3 linked regions of the Danio rerio genome follow. The protein of the gene in region 2 interacts with the protein of the main gene of each other region in a biochemical or structural test. Links are inferred from orthologs where the notes say so. Each region holds a gene or a part of one and is shown on either strand. Other genes may lie near its edges.

Region 1 (5,313 bases), on a different chromosome or scaffold from region 2:
TTACATAAATATTATTATTATATTATTATTATATTGTCATACCATTAATAATATTATTTTATTATTATTATTATTATTATTATATTGTCATGCCATAAATAATATTAATCATATTATTATTATTATATTGTCATAACTTAATATTATTATTTTATTTTATTATTATTATTATTATATTGTCATAATTCAATATTATTTATATTATTATTATTAGTAGTAGTATTATATTGTCATTATTATTTATATGATTATTATCTAAATAATAATAATACTAATATTGAAATAAAGCTGACTGCTGACCCTGGTTGATGAGGCCTCTGCTCTTGCTGGGCTCCTCTTTCCCGCTTGGTGTGTCCGTCTCTGAGCTCTTCCCTTCAGTCTCCGTCTGTGTCTGCGTCTCCTCCGGCTGGTGTTTGAGTGGAGAGACGCGTTTAACAGGACGGAATTTACTGTAGACGTCTGCGATACCGGTGGGTTTGAGTCCTGCACCGCTGTGAGACGCCGCACTACGAGGCCAGTTAATGGCCAGAGCTGAAAACACACAGAACAGAGAAAATCAAGAATGGATTAGAGGGTTTTCTTGGCTAGTTTTTAACATCAGAAGGCACTCTAGGCCAGTGATTACCAAAGTGAGGGTCACGAGACAACGACAGGGGGTTGCTTGGGGATTTCCAAAAGTTAAATAAATTTTATGAAACTATTCGAATGACTATATTTTATCCAAAACAAACAGAAGATAACAACAGTTGTTAATAGTTACATATAAAAAAAACAACAACACGCAAATAAAAAGCCATCAGCCTGTACATTTCATAGGATTAGTGTTTACACGTCAGATTAATAACTCAGCAATAGCGTCAGCTGCAGCATGTTGATTTTATAGCAGCAGGTTAAACTTTCTGACAGCTTGATGGCAAATCAAATACATACAAATAAATACAGGCCACAACTGAACATTGAGGATGATCATCGAGTGGCGGTCTTTAAAATAAACCAAGAACAGACGTGTGCTGAAAACATTGTTCCCACTAGCAGAGGTCTGCACGGGGCTGATTTTTCAGTCCTGCTCCCGTGTGCACATTCACGTTATCTAATATGTAACATATGGTGCTCTGTGGCACAGCAGAAACACGAACACTGTCCAGAGTCTTATATGGGACAGCTGCCGACTTGCAGCTGCTGTACCTCTAGTCACTAGTAGAGAAGAATGCAGACCTCTACCCACTAGTCTCCTTAGGTGAAGTTAATAATAAATCAAATTAATAAATGACATTGAAATTATATGGTTGTTAGACTGTGTTGCACTTATTTGTGTTGTCATTACGCTCATATTTATATAGGTCTATTGCCGTGTGCGCAACATTTATATATTTATTACCACCTCAGAAGATAGGGGGCAGCAGATGAAGCGCAAGGCTAGTTTTTAATAGTGCTGTAAGCTAGTTTTAAACAGCAGATAGCGCTCAAGGCTAGTTTTTAAAGGGTCACGAAACACCAAAACACATGTGTTTAAGCTGTTGACAGTGGTATATGTGTCCCACACTGCTAAAAACACTATTAGGACACCTATATCTCACTAAAAAGTGTAAATTGGATGTTTTTGCGTTATTTTAAGCAAATTCGTACTTCCTGTTTGAAACTAATTTTTGAAGCTGCATCACGGTCATGACATAATAGCGTGTATTCCAGCGTGCAGACTGGACGTCTGTGCCAGAGTGTGTCTTATTACGTCTTACAGTGTGCTGCATTAATGCATGAGTAAAGCTTGGTTCAAACCAATCAGCGCGCTCTATTGTGCAGCTTCATTAATATTCATTACTGTCACAGACGACAGAGACGCCACGTTGTGTTGGCAAAACAAGCGTGAAGTGTTGCTTTTATAGTTTGCTGCAGTGAAGTTTTGTTTTCATTTTCTCTCTGTGAGAGCGCAGCTGGAGTCACGTGTGGATTAACAGTGTACGCGACGCTCGACAACAATAACTTACGTGTCTAAGGAGGATTATTGTTTACCTGAGAGCTGTTCTGATCTGCAAATGCTGAGATCCGGATTCGCTTGTAGTCTCCTCTTAATAAAGACGCGGCTCTAGTTGCTGGTGATTGTCCTGTCTCTACAGATTTGGTAAGTGAGCGACCAGTGCTCTTTGTTTATTCATTTCGTATTTTATTCATATCGAACAAACTATTGCACCGAGTGTAAACAAGTTAGCTTTACAACCAAACTATAACCTCATGTAGGATTTAGTGACCGGAATAACACACGCGGCTTTCTGACACTACCTGCCGAGTGCATTTAAGTTTCCGGGAAATGCTGAAGGTTTTTTTCTGTCATTCGCCGTGTGGTATCAAACATTGCCTGAAAATACACGCTTAGAGCAGCTCCTCGAATCAAATATCTCGTTTGTCGCGAGGGGCATGAATGAATTCCCTGAATGAAAGAGCCAAACTGCAGTTAAAGTCCACCATTTAATCATTTGTCAAATAATTCGACTACAGACGTCCATGTAAACAGTCCCTTTCTCCCCTGTTGGGTGTGTGTTTTGACTCTGAAACTTGCGCGTGCCCAAATAGACACTCCCACACCAAGCCTCTTTTCTTCCTCCGACACTCCCCCCTAAACAGAGCTGGACACGCCCACTTTTCTGACTTTTTCCAAAGTAGAGGTGTGAAAACACCCTGCTGAAACAAGAGGGTTTCATGGCCCTTTAATAGGGCTGTCTGTAAAGCAGAGCGCCATCTGCTGGTGAAACTATAAACAAGTGTGTGAATGAGCGCAGTACCTTGTCTCTCGTCGTTCTGTCCATCATGTCTCCGGCACAGTTCAGGAATGCTCTTAGATGAGTACTGTACAACACACACACACACACACACACACATTAGGAAACACTGCTATCAGTTTAACTTCAGCACTGCACATGTAAACATTTACAGTACACTTTAACAAGTCAAACAAAGCAGTTTATCTAGATCAGGGTTTCAGGGATTGACGGAAAGCTAATAATTTATTGATAAAACTTTAATTATATAATAGTAAACAATAATAGCTTGAAATAATCAAAATAAAATATATACTAAAAATGAAAACTCTAAATTTACGATAAATAAAACGTCCTAATATGTATTCAATCCAATATGAAATAAGCAAAATCAAAGCAAAAACACTAACCCAAATATTAAATATATGTTTTTGTTGAGCTTTAACAGATAATCATGAATATGTAAATATAATGATGTGACTAAAAGCATTAAAGTATTTTCGATTTTTAAAACAGCTGCTGATGGAAAATAGTAAATAATCGCTGACCATGTAAATAACCACGAGTACATGAAATCTGCTTTATAATAATAATAATAATAACCTGATAATAATAATTAGCAGTTACAGTATAATGAACATGATTTGGATTATGGGATGCAAATCTACTCAACTGTGCATCTGCCATTTTTAAATATAATCTGCATATTTCATAAGTACTCACAGGTAAATCATCAGTGAAGTCAATCTCATCCAGATCCAGATATTCAGGAACGTCCATCTTCAGTCAGCATGCTGAAAAACACCAGATTATTACCAATCGACAATCAATAACTGATCCACACTTTATCATTACACAAACTGCAACTGCTGCATCAGTGTGACATCATTCTGAGCCATGCGGCGGGGCTTCAGCTCAACCCACATCGGATTGGACAGTGGACGTGAAAGTGGGCGTGGTTACAAAAGACTATATAAACTTATTGAAATAAAAACATGATGTTGGTATAGAGTAAATTTAGTATGTTTTGCTACAGCTAAATGCTTCAGATTTAAAGTTCATCTTCATCAAGTGATGATGCCAACCACAGAGCACTTCTAGAGGTCTCCATAATCCTGGACCAGGCCGTATCCTGAGCTGCTGCTGTGGTGGTCATGGAGGAGTGGAGAGCATGAGACTGATTCCTGAAAGACCTCAGTGACAGACGAGTGTCCGCATTGATCCTGAAGGGCCGGCCTGAACACTAGCCGGTGACCTCTCCCACCTGCAGCTTCTCCACGATGGATGTCCAGCGCTCTCCAGCCTCCGGCGCCTAGACTGCAGCTCTGCACAAGAAGTCTGGCCAGAGGAGAAATGGTCGTGCCCAACTGAGCCTGGTTTCTCTCAAAGTTTCTCTCCTTCACTTTGGTCAGTTGGTGAAGTGTGTTCCTCCACTCCTCCTGCTTGGTTTGGGTCTTGTGGAGCTGTGCATGGATGGATTTGATCTTCAGTTTGGACTCTCAGCAGTGAGGATTAAACCACACTGAACTTTAACTCTGAACACTGTTTGAGTTTACTATAATCTTCTGTGTTCAGCTGCTGACACAATCTACACCAAAGGTCTTAAGCTGGATTCCAGGGGCCTGTTTCAGAAAGGAGGTTAAGTGAAAACTCCGAGTATTTTAACCCTGAAATGAGAGAAACTCTGGGTTTTCCGTTTCAGAGTGGCAGGTTTGTTAAACTGGAGAATGCAGGGTAAGTCAAGCCTGTTTCTGAAAGAAAGGTAACTTCAACTCAGAGTCAGTTACTGTGGTCACTTACAATGTGAATCTAACCTGGTCAGGAGCAGGTTTTATTCTCTAAACTCAGAGTTTCTGTCGGTCTCCTCCCCTTTTTTCAGATTTAATATAAGTCTTTTGCGTCTCTAGAATGTGTATATAAAGTTTCAGCTCAAAATACCCATCAGATTTTTCATTATACCTTTTACAAGATGCTGTTTTATACACATTTCCAGCAGGGGGTGGTTTTGTTGTACTGCGCCTTTAAGCCGAGTTCTGCCCGCCTACTGTTTCTACGTGCCTTCCCACATGCTTTAATCTCCTCCCTCGGCTGCGTCAGACAACAGACAGACTTAAAGGAAGCAGGTCTCACGAAGCGTTTGTGAGATACTACAGTAAGAACTAACCCTTACTAATCAGAATTTGTTGTGAAGTTGCATTGATGAGTCACACACAATATCATTACAAAGTTCATGCGCGCACACACACACACACAGAGATACACACGCACACCGCAGCTGACACACACACACACACACGCAGGCAGGCAGGCAGATAGAGCGCTCTTAGCACTGTTTATGCACTCAAGTGTGTCAGGATACAGGCTAACCTCCAGTACTGTGTGGATATCTGTTATGCTAATGTACAAAATAAACCTGATTTAACTTCCACAAACCGGGATTGAAGCTTCTTCTTTTATAATTGTTCTGACACGCGGCTGTGCTGATGCAGTAAAGCTGAAGTAAAACGCTGTAATTAATTACACACATACTCTGTTTTAAAACACTTTAAACATGTGAAAC
Region 2 (3,600 bases):
TATATATATATATATATATATATATATATATATATATATATATATATATATATATATATATAATAGTTAAAGACATATTTAAGTCATTCTGTGCTTGTAAGCATAAAAAGATCCCGCCAGAGAGCCTACATTTGTATATGAAGAGCTTATAAACAATAATAACAAAAAACGTTGTGAAGAATGCTTCCAAACATAATATGTATACAGTTCATTCTCCTCACACCTCACAAATGAAGGTGAAGGATTGCATTACCAAGCACCTGGACAAGGATGAAACCAAAAAAAAAAAAAATGTGTTTAACCTCATGACATTTCTAACATTCAGCAGTTCTTTTTAAAAATAAGCTTTTCTAAAAACCTGGATTTATTTTGAACAATTTCATGCAAATGTTAACCTTGCCATTAAAAATGAATTATGTTTTCACCAAAGTAGTGAACCCCTTTCTATGTTTGTGTAGGCCTGTATTTTACTGCATAGTAAAAAACACATTAAAAATCTTTCTGTCAATGTTTTTCAACAATTATATTTGATTAACCAAAGTCACACAAGTGCTAATTTCACATCCATCACATCCATAATTGAGAAATGTCATATTCATAACGAAGCTCTTTCTTCATAAATGCAAAAATGTAAAATAAAATCAATAATTTTTGTTCTACATTAAGCCAACTCTTCTCCTTGTGATTAGCATTGTTTCTTTGGGGTTGTGCCGTTTCATTCACAGAATTTCTATAAAGAATGTTGTATACTGTAAACTTGCAGACTTCTTTAGTCAGATCCAAAACGTATGTTTATTTAGCTCATTTAAATTTTTTTTTAATTACAGATTGATATTTTTTGCTCCCATATCTCAGTGGTGAGCTGTTTTGGAAAATATAAACAGATGTTTCGATATAATGTTAACATATACTTTCTATGTAAATTTAAGTTTTAAGATATTACTGCAAAAGTCACATCCACGAAATTGCATCATTTATGCATCAAAACATCTTCACAACAAGATTACCTTTAGTACAACAGGGTTAGTTACAGAAGGGATTTGACCCTATCCTATCTAGCTATTGCTTCAACCACCTGCAACTTAACCTCGTTTACTGTAATTGATAGGGGAGGTGCTAAAACGGATCCTTAAGGATAAAGAACAACAAAAACAGTACCGTCTAATTGAGTCGCAACAACGATGTAAGCATAGGATCTCCATGGCGAATTGCAGCCGCTTTGTAAACAAATCGGAGTGGTGATCGAGCAGCCAAGTTCAAGGCGTCTGCGAGCACGAAAGCTTAAAATAAATCCCATGTGTAGCATTCACGACATTAAGCTCCTTTAGGTGTCACATGCACAAGCACATCTGATGATTTTACTGTAACATGCTCGATCTGATCGTGTCGACCCTACACACAGTGTCGGCTGATGGTTAGCCTTAACGTTATGCATGTTTTTCTTTTGGGCTGACTTCTAAATCAACACCACCATATGTTATATTGACCATAACCAGTGATAAAATGTTTTCTGTAGCACATGTTGGTATCGGTCTCTGTGTTCAAGTTAACTTTTATAATGTGAGGCTGCTTTTGCACCGCAAACTAATACAGTTTCTGTCAGTCAAGCCATCTCTGTATGGCTAGAAACAGTCAAAAATGATCCGTTGACAATAAACGAGGTCTTAATCTTAGGACTGAAATATAAACAGAAATAACACGTCTGCACACATACGCTAATTACGATTGGAAAACACTGCACTGGTTGCATTACATTTGATTTCGTCACATAAACAGTGTTTCTCACTTAGCACAAGCATATAAAGCTAGCAAAGGCAGGCTAATAATGGCTACATGGACCATATATCGGCGTTTAAAATATTTAAAAAGCATTTTGTTACTGGATAAGAACCACACAGCGAATCACATTGTGTTAAAGAAAAAAATGAACTCACAAGATGTGTTTTGCTGAGGAATGCAGTAAAATTGTTGATAGCATGGTCGGCTAGCCGCTTTTTAAGCTAGCTAGCTCGCTAAGCCTAGTAAAATCAACAACAGATCCATTATCCTCGAGTGGAGGATTTAAACATTGCACTTACCTCCAGAAAATATCCCTCTGCTGCCAAACGAATTAATTGTAAAAAATAATTCACCACACGTCGGGCAGCGTTAGGTTATATGTCCGTTAATCGTTTGGTTGTTTGTGTTTCCACATTCGCTAAAAAGAGACGCTGCTGTCGCCCGGCAGTCTCGGTGTCGCGCACTGACTGAAGCTGTTGAAATATATTTTCACGGGAACGGCGCTGCAAGGATACGCGAACGCGCTTCAGACACATGAACGCGGGAAGGAGAACAACGTTGGGCCAACAACACACAGATGGAAGAAGTACTGTCCTCAGATTAGGAGTTATAAGAATATAATATTTTATTTAGACAAATTAGCACTTTGGTATAAAACAAAAATTGAATAAAACTGGATAAAAATAAACTACATATCATAGGATTTTAAAACAATAAATAAAAAACTGAAATATGATTTTAACAAGTGATCTAAATTTAATAAAACAATTAATTAACAGTAGATTAAAAAAACAAATGCAAGTTGTAGCTTAAAACAAATGATAAAAAATATAGAAAAAGTAAAAATGCAATAAATAAATGTTATTACATTATTGAAAATGTAATAAAGTTGCTCAATATAAATTTACAACGTTCCAAGATTTTTCCCATATAAATTGGGTATTTATATATTATATTTCTACATAAAGTATTATTAACATTTGATTATTGCAAGGCATCACGATGGCACGATCACCTCACAGCAAGAAGGTTGCTGTTTCGAGTATAGGCTGGGTCAGTTGGCATTTCTGTGTTGAGTTTGTATGTTCTCCCCATGATCGAGTGGGTTTACTACGGGTGCTCCAGTTTCCCCACAAGTCCAAAGACATGCGGTATAGGTGAATTGGGAAAACTGGATAAGTTGGCAGTTAATTCCGCTGTGGTGGTGACCCCAGATTAATAAAGGGAATAAGCTGAAAACAAGATGAATGAATGATTATTGGAAACACTATTTAGATAATAAAAAAAAAATTAAATTTGTATCTCACCAACACTGACTCATGTGTTAATAAAAAGAAAACAAATAATAATAATAATACATTTGTTACTGTTGTGTTAATCAGCTTTTAAAGATAGTCATTTTTCTATAAAATGGTTGTACTATTAGCTCAATGATTGGATCTCAAACACCGAAGTCGAATATGATTAAAAGACATGATTCAATAAGGCAGCTGTAGTTCGACAATGCTGAAAGATCTGATGCAGCTGGTTCAGTTTTTAATATTTTCTTGAATATGTGTTCTTGAAAAAAGCAAAAGTGGATGTTTTAGTTATGTAACCTGAAAAGTGGAGGTTGCATAGAGAGGAAACTATCTAACTTGAGCAGCCAGTAGGTGGGGGAAATGAACTGGATTCATATGGATTGTGTAATGCTAGTATAAACCCACCTTAGCACTTGCGTTATAAGGGTGTGTCTGTGATTAAAAGGCGGTCTGTTATGCAAAAATCACTTTTTATGTGTTTGTTGCTGACCCTCTTTTGAAAAGGGAACCATCTCATTTG
Region 3 (5,313 bases), on a different chromosome or scaffold from region 2:
ATGTCCATAGAGGTGGTTGTAAAGAGATAAACAACACTTGAGGTCAGGTCAAGACCTTATTCCCTTAACTGACGGTTATTGCTAATAAAAATAACTTGACACTTTTGCCCACAGACAAACGCTTCATGCAGTAAAAAGCAAGCAAAAAGATACAAAAAGAAAGGAAGGGAATAGAAAAGAAAAAAAGAAAAAAAAGAAAAGAAAAGAAAAAAGTTTCTCTCGTATCCACCGAGGCCTACTGACAACTGCTTCTTTGCATTGAGAACGTACAGTAGTTTGCATTAGAGAATCCTGTTGTCATTAACCATAAGCATCTCATTCACAATGCATTCTCAATTTGAAGGAAGATCTGTCTTCTCACACAAGGCCAAAGTAAGTATTATTTTTAACTTTGTCTTTTTCCCCTAAATAATAAGCCTTTTCCGGAGGCTGTTTTAAATATGAATGAGTGTATGAGAAAAAAAAAAGAAATCCCACTTGTCAACATGTGCTGCATTGAACTAATTACATGACAGAACTTTACAAGCAGATGTATTTAGTTATTTGTTATAAAAAGCTGTTCCTTGTTTTTGTTGCTGAGCTGTGTGATTGTTTGTGTAATAATTGAGTGAAGTGAGTTGAGAAAAGGAACATGATGAGCTCGAGTGGTCAGTGAAGCTCAAAGTGTGTGCAGGTGTTTCCTTTAAACACTAATAAATCAACTAGCGCCGCAGTTTCAGATGCTTACAGCACTTCTCAGCAGCCTAATTTTAAACTCAGATTTGAACAACAGCATCCTAGAAAGGAACTACATGTACTTACTGTAGCAATGTTTATATAAATTATACATTTACTGTTGTAAATTTCATGAAATTTGTAACTGAGAGTATACCAATAGAGATGCAGTATCAGTTTTTAAAAAGAAAAATCCATTGTTAAAATAAATGTCAGATAAATGAAAAATTATTTAAATCATGTGTCAATAGTCAAATCAATAAGACAAGTACAATTTGTGCTTAGTTATATTTAAAAACTGTTAAATAAACTAAAAAGAGTCTAAAAAGTATCAAATAAAATTGTAAAAGTACACATAAAAAGTCTAACAAAAATACAATCAAAGTAAATGTAGTTTTTAATTGCTTAAGCAATATACAATATTAGCACAAGTAAAAAAATGAACACTAATAAAATATAATGCAAATAAACGAAAAACTAAATAAAATAATAAAAAATAGTGTTAAATTATAAATGTTATAAAATAACATTATAATTATAATTATATATACATATATAATTATAAAAAATGTATGAAAATCAAAATAAATTAATTTAGCATTTAAATAAATAATTAAATTAAATGTAAAAAAATAAAACAAAATTGTTTTTAAAATAATCATTTTAATCATTTAATTTAATAATTATGATTTTATAAGAGATTTTAAATAAAATTAACATAAAACAAAATTAACAAAATCAATGTAATTTATTTGATAAAATGAGTTCATATGAATAAAAATAAATTAATAAAAAATTAAATGAAAATCAAAATGAACCAATTTTGGGTTTAAATAAATAAATAAATGAAATATAACAAAAAAAAATTAAAACAAAATTTTGTTAACAATTAGAATTTTAATAAATTAATTTAATAATTATTATTTTATTAGAGATTTTAAATAAACTAAATATAAATACAATTAACAAAATCAATTTAATGAATTTAATTTAAATAAATGAAATTAAATTAATTAAACATTTTTAGAAAATCTAAATGAATCAATTTGTTGTTTAAATAAATAATTAAATGAAATAAAAATATATGAAAACAACATTTAAATAAAATATAATGAATTCATTAAAAAAAAGAAAAAAATTATATATAAAAAAAAACGTTTTGATGCAATTTGGTCAATTCATTACTGAACATCACAAAAAAAAAAAAAAAAAAAACAGAATCAACCATTTGTTTGCTGCAGACTGTATGAAGAGGTATTGACCACTTAAGACGCTCATGTTTCACTTGATTTTAGAGAATCAACTTGTAACTTTCCAAAAAGTGCCAAGCTGAAACTTAAAATTCTTCTAGTGGTACAAAATTAGTGCGGCTTCTTCCTTTTGCGGTGACATCACTTGAAACTGTTGCTTTTATAAGGCAGCCCACTGAAGCAATTATCAGATGATCTCAGGAAGAAAAAAGAAAAGACTTTTGACCAGATATTAAACATTGTTGCATATCAGATGGGAAAATGTAAGTACAATTTCTAGATAAATAAACTATAGATTTACACATTTGACGTGTATTTTGATGCTGTATGCAAGATTCGTATTTATCGTAGGATAAATAATTAATGTACTGCAAAATGTACTGCAAAAGCTTGATGCATCATTTTTTTTTTTTAATTCAATTCAGAACAGGTGATTTATTCCACATTGATCATTGCAGTTTTGCAAGGCTATCTGTTCTGTAAAGTGACACGATTAATTTGCCTTTTACATTCAGACCGATATTTGCATGTTTGCAAGATGCAATAGTGGTTTATAATACCTCTTTGCCAGCTGTATTATACAGGTACCTCAGTTTTTACATTAAAAGTGTAAAGTAGCTGCTGCCATCAAGACAAGCACAGTAAGACTGAATGACTCTTGAATAGAGGCCTGTTATTTGGCCATTTGACCATAAAACCTCTAAATGATTTTTATTATTATTTTTTTTGTCGTCTGGCTTAAAAACCAATATTCAAAAATAATGAAGTATGATGTTATACTGTGTGATATTTATGAGATTTTATCAGAAACATCAGCTTAAAGCATACAGTTGAAGTCAAAATTAATAGCCCCTTTTGATTTTTTTTTTCTAAATGTTTCCCAAATTATGTTTAACAGGGCAAGATATTTTCACAGTATGTCTGATAATATTTTTTTTCTTCAGGATAAAGTCTTATTTGTTTTATTTTGGCAAGAATAATAGCAGTTTTAATTAAAAAAATAAATAAATAAAATTTCAATAGTCTAGCAAACTATCATTATACAATAACTTGTCTAATTACTCTAACCTGCCTAGTTAACCTTATTAACCTTTAAGCCTTTAAATGTCACTTTAAGCTGTATATAAGTGTCTTGAAAAATATCTAGTCAAATAATATACTGTCATCATGACAAAAAAAATAATTCAGTTATTAAAAATGAGTTATTAAAACTATTATGTCCAAAAAATCTGTTGAAAAAAAATCTGTTGAACAGAATTTGGGTGAACAATAATAATGGGCTAATAATTTTGACTTCAACTGTATATAAGTACACACCTCACAAATCTTTTTAATTCATATTTTTGATTGGAAGCTATACAATATTATATTTGTGCATATACATTAGATTAGTCAGGACTGAAGCCAAATCTGGAGCTTATCTCACAAAAAAAAAAAAACTTATGATAACAGTCTAAAAACCAGAACAGCCATATTTATGTTATATAAAAATATTAAATACAAATTTAAAAAAGAGGAGGAAAAATTGACATTTTGGTTGTAATTTTTTTTGCAATATATTTTTTTATTTAATTGTATTATCTTTCAATTTCTAAATATGTTTGGTGACTAAAATATTTTAATAAATATATACGTTTAATAAATCTATTTTGTTTAAATGCACCAAAATAAATTGCTCATATTTACTGAGAAATAGATAAAAATATTCATTGTCAAAATGGGGTGTACTCAATTATGCTGAACACCGGATAACATTATACCATTAATATGTAATCATAAGTAAAATATTATCAATGATAAGTATTCTACTTAAATAATAATAAGTATAAAATAAAATCATTTCAGGTAACTGGCAAGATATTGTATATTTTTCATTTTTTTATTTAGTTGATGAAGTATTAAATAAAAGTGTATTTTTATGTAATAATAATAATAATAATAATAATAATAATAATTATTATTATTATTATTATTATTATTATTGTTGTTATTGTTTTATTTTTATATTTACTTTATAAATAAATTTACATTTAATTAATTTATATAATAATAATAATTTATTTTATATTCTATTTATTTTACAAATATTTATTTTATTTATTACATTTCAACAACAGCTTAAGAATCATAGTTATAATAAAGTAACACTGGGGATTTAACAGACTACTATTATGTAATGGCGTGAGAATAACATATTTAAAATATAAAAGCAAACATTAATAAAACATAATATTATTAATGAATATTATACTGATATCATTATTTCAGAATATAATATTTAAAAACCCTTTTCCCTAGTAACTACTATAAAATATTTAAAATATAAAAAACATTTACGAGAATAAAACATAATGTTCTTATGTAATATTATACTGATATTATCATTATTTAAATATACTGTTAAAACATAACATTTAAATCTCTTTTCCTGCTATTGCCAAATCAGTACAAGTAGTAGAAAAAATACCAAAATAACACTGATTTTAAAAGATTTCAATTCAAAGCTTAAAGGATAAGATAAATAAAGATTACTGGAGTATGTTGAAGTATTTGAGTATGTTATATTTTTAACATTAAAATGTCATTAATATTCACACTAAACACACTATGTTCAATAAATCATGTCATGCGTGGCATTTCTTTGGACATTCTGCTTGAACTCGTGAGGTCAAGTGCACAGGATTCAAGAGTAAGAGTTATTACTGCTGATAGAACTCTCTGGAAATTTGAGAGCCATTTCAGAAAGCAGGCGGACTGTGGAGTGGCTTAAACTCGATATGCAAAACTGTTGAATTGCCCTCCTTCTGAAAGAAAAGCCTTTACAGCTGCGCAGCTTCCTCTTTCTGGGCTTTTTAAAGCGTGCTGTGCTTGAATTGCACAACTGCACAGGCCTCTTTACAATCATCTTTACATATTAGAGCACGACTTCTCAGTTCTCAGCAAATGCCCAAAACTCTGTTTGATTCTGTTGGAAATGCACCAATTGTATCTGTTCTGTGAGAGCATTTGCTGAAAGGATTGTTTTATTGTTTGCATTGTGACATTAATTAAAGATAAAAGGCCTGACGGGTTGTTTTGTTAGCGTTATAGAGGGTTACAGGTGGTTAGTAGTCGGCCTGTTCTAACAGAGACTGTGAACGTGTGATGAATGATGCAGAACAGGTTCATTACTGATTCATTATTTGGTGATTAAACATTGAGACTTTAGCCTTAAGAAGTAACAGTTGTGCATTAACGGGGTGTGGAGGTGTATGAGACTTTTATACAAACAACGTTCAGAAAAGACTTAAGGCGATATCATATTTTCACATTAAACATCACATTGAAGCATGAGTGACTCACTGAGCGC

What was found.
Region 1: the proteins of siah1 (region 2) and sncaip form a complex in vitro, tested with the Homo sapiens proteins (2 studies listed by BioGRID, with this or other methods). The link is inferred for Danio rerio from reciprocal best matches to the Homo sapiens genes SIAH1 and SNCAIP.
Region 3: the proteins of siah1 (region 2) and pou2af1 form a complex in vitro, tested with the Homo sapiens proteins (2 studies listed by BioGRID). The link is inferred for Danio rerio from reciprocal best matches to the Homo sapiens genes SIAH1 and POU2AF1.

Annotation. Positions count from the first base shown.
Region 1 is NC_133183.1:459,168-464,480, reverse strand, and holds the start of sncaip (synphilin-1), read right to left. Parts: upstream 3,550-5,313; 5' UTR 3,534-3,549; coding exon 3,477-3,533; intron 2,842-3,476; coding exon 2,778-2,841; intron 532-2,777; coding exon 301-531; intron 1-300. UniProt on the Homo sapiens protein: Isoform 2 inhibits the ubiquitin ligase activity of SIAH1 and inhibits proteasomal degradation of target proteins. Isoform 2 inhibits autoubiquitination and proteasomal degradation of SIAH1, and thereby increases cellular levels of SIAH.
Region 2 is NC_133193.1:19,824,810-19,828,409, reverse strand, and holds the start of siah1 (E3 ubiquitin-protein ligase Siah1), read right to left. Parts: upstream 2,245-3,600; 5' UTR 2,079-2,244; intron 1-2,078. UniProt on the Homo sapiens protein: E3 ubiquitin-protein ligase that mediates ubiquitination and subsequent proteasomal degradation of target proteins.
Region 3 is NC_133190.1:20,245,456-20,250,768, reverse strand, and holds the start of pou2af1 (POU domain class 2-associating factor 1), read left to right. Parts: upstream 1-1,817; 5' UTR 1,818-2,217; coding exon 2,218-2,227; intron 2,228-5,313. UniProt on the Homo sapiens protein: Transcriptional coactivator that specifically associates with either POU2F1/OCT1 or POU2F2/OCT2. It boosts the POU2F1/OCT1 mediated promoter activity and to a lesser extent, that of POU2F2/OCT2. It recognizes the POU domains of POU2F1/OCT1 and POU2F2/OCT2.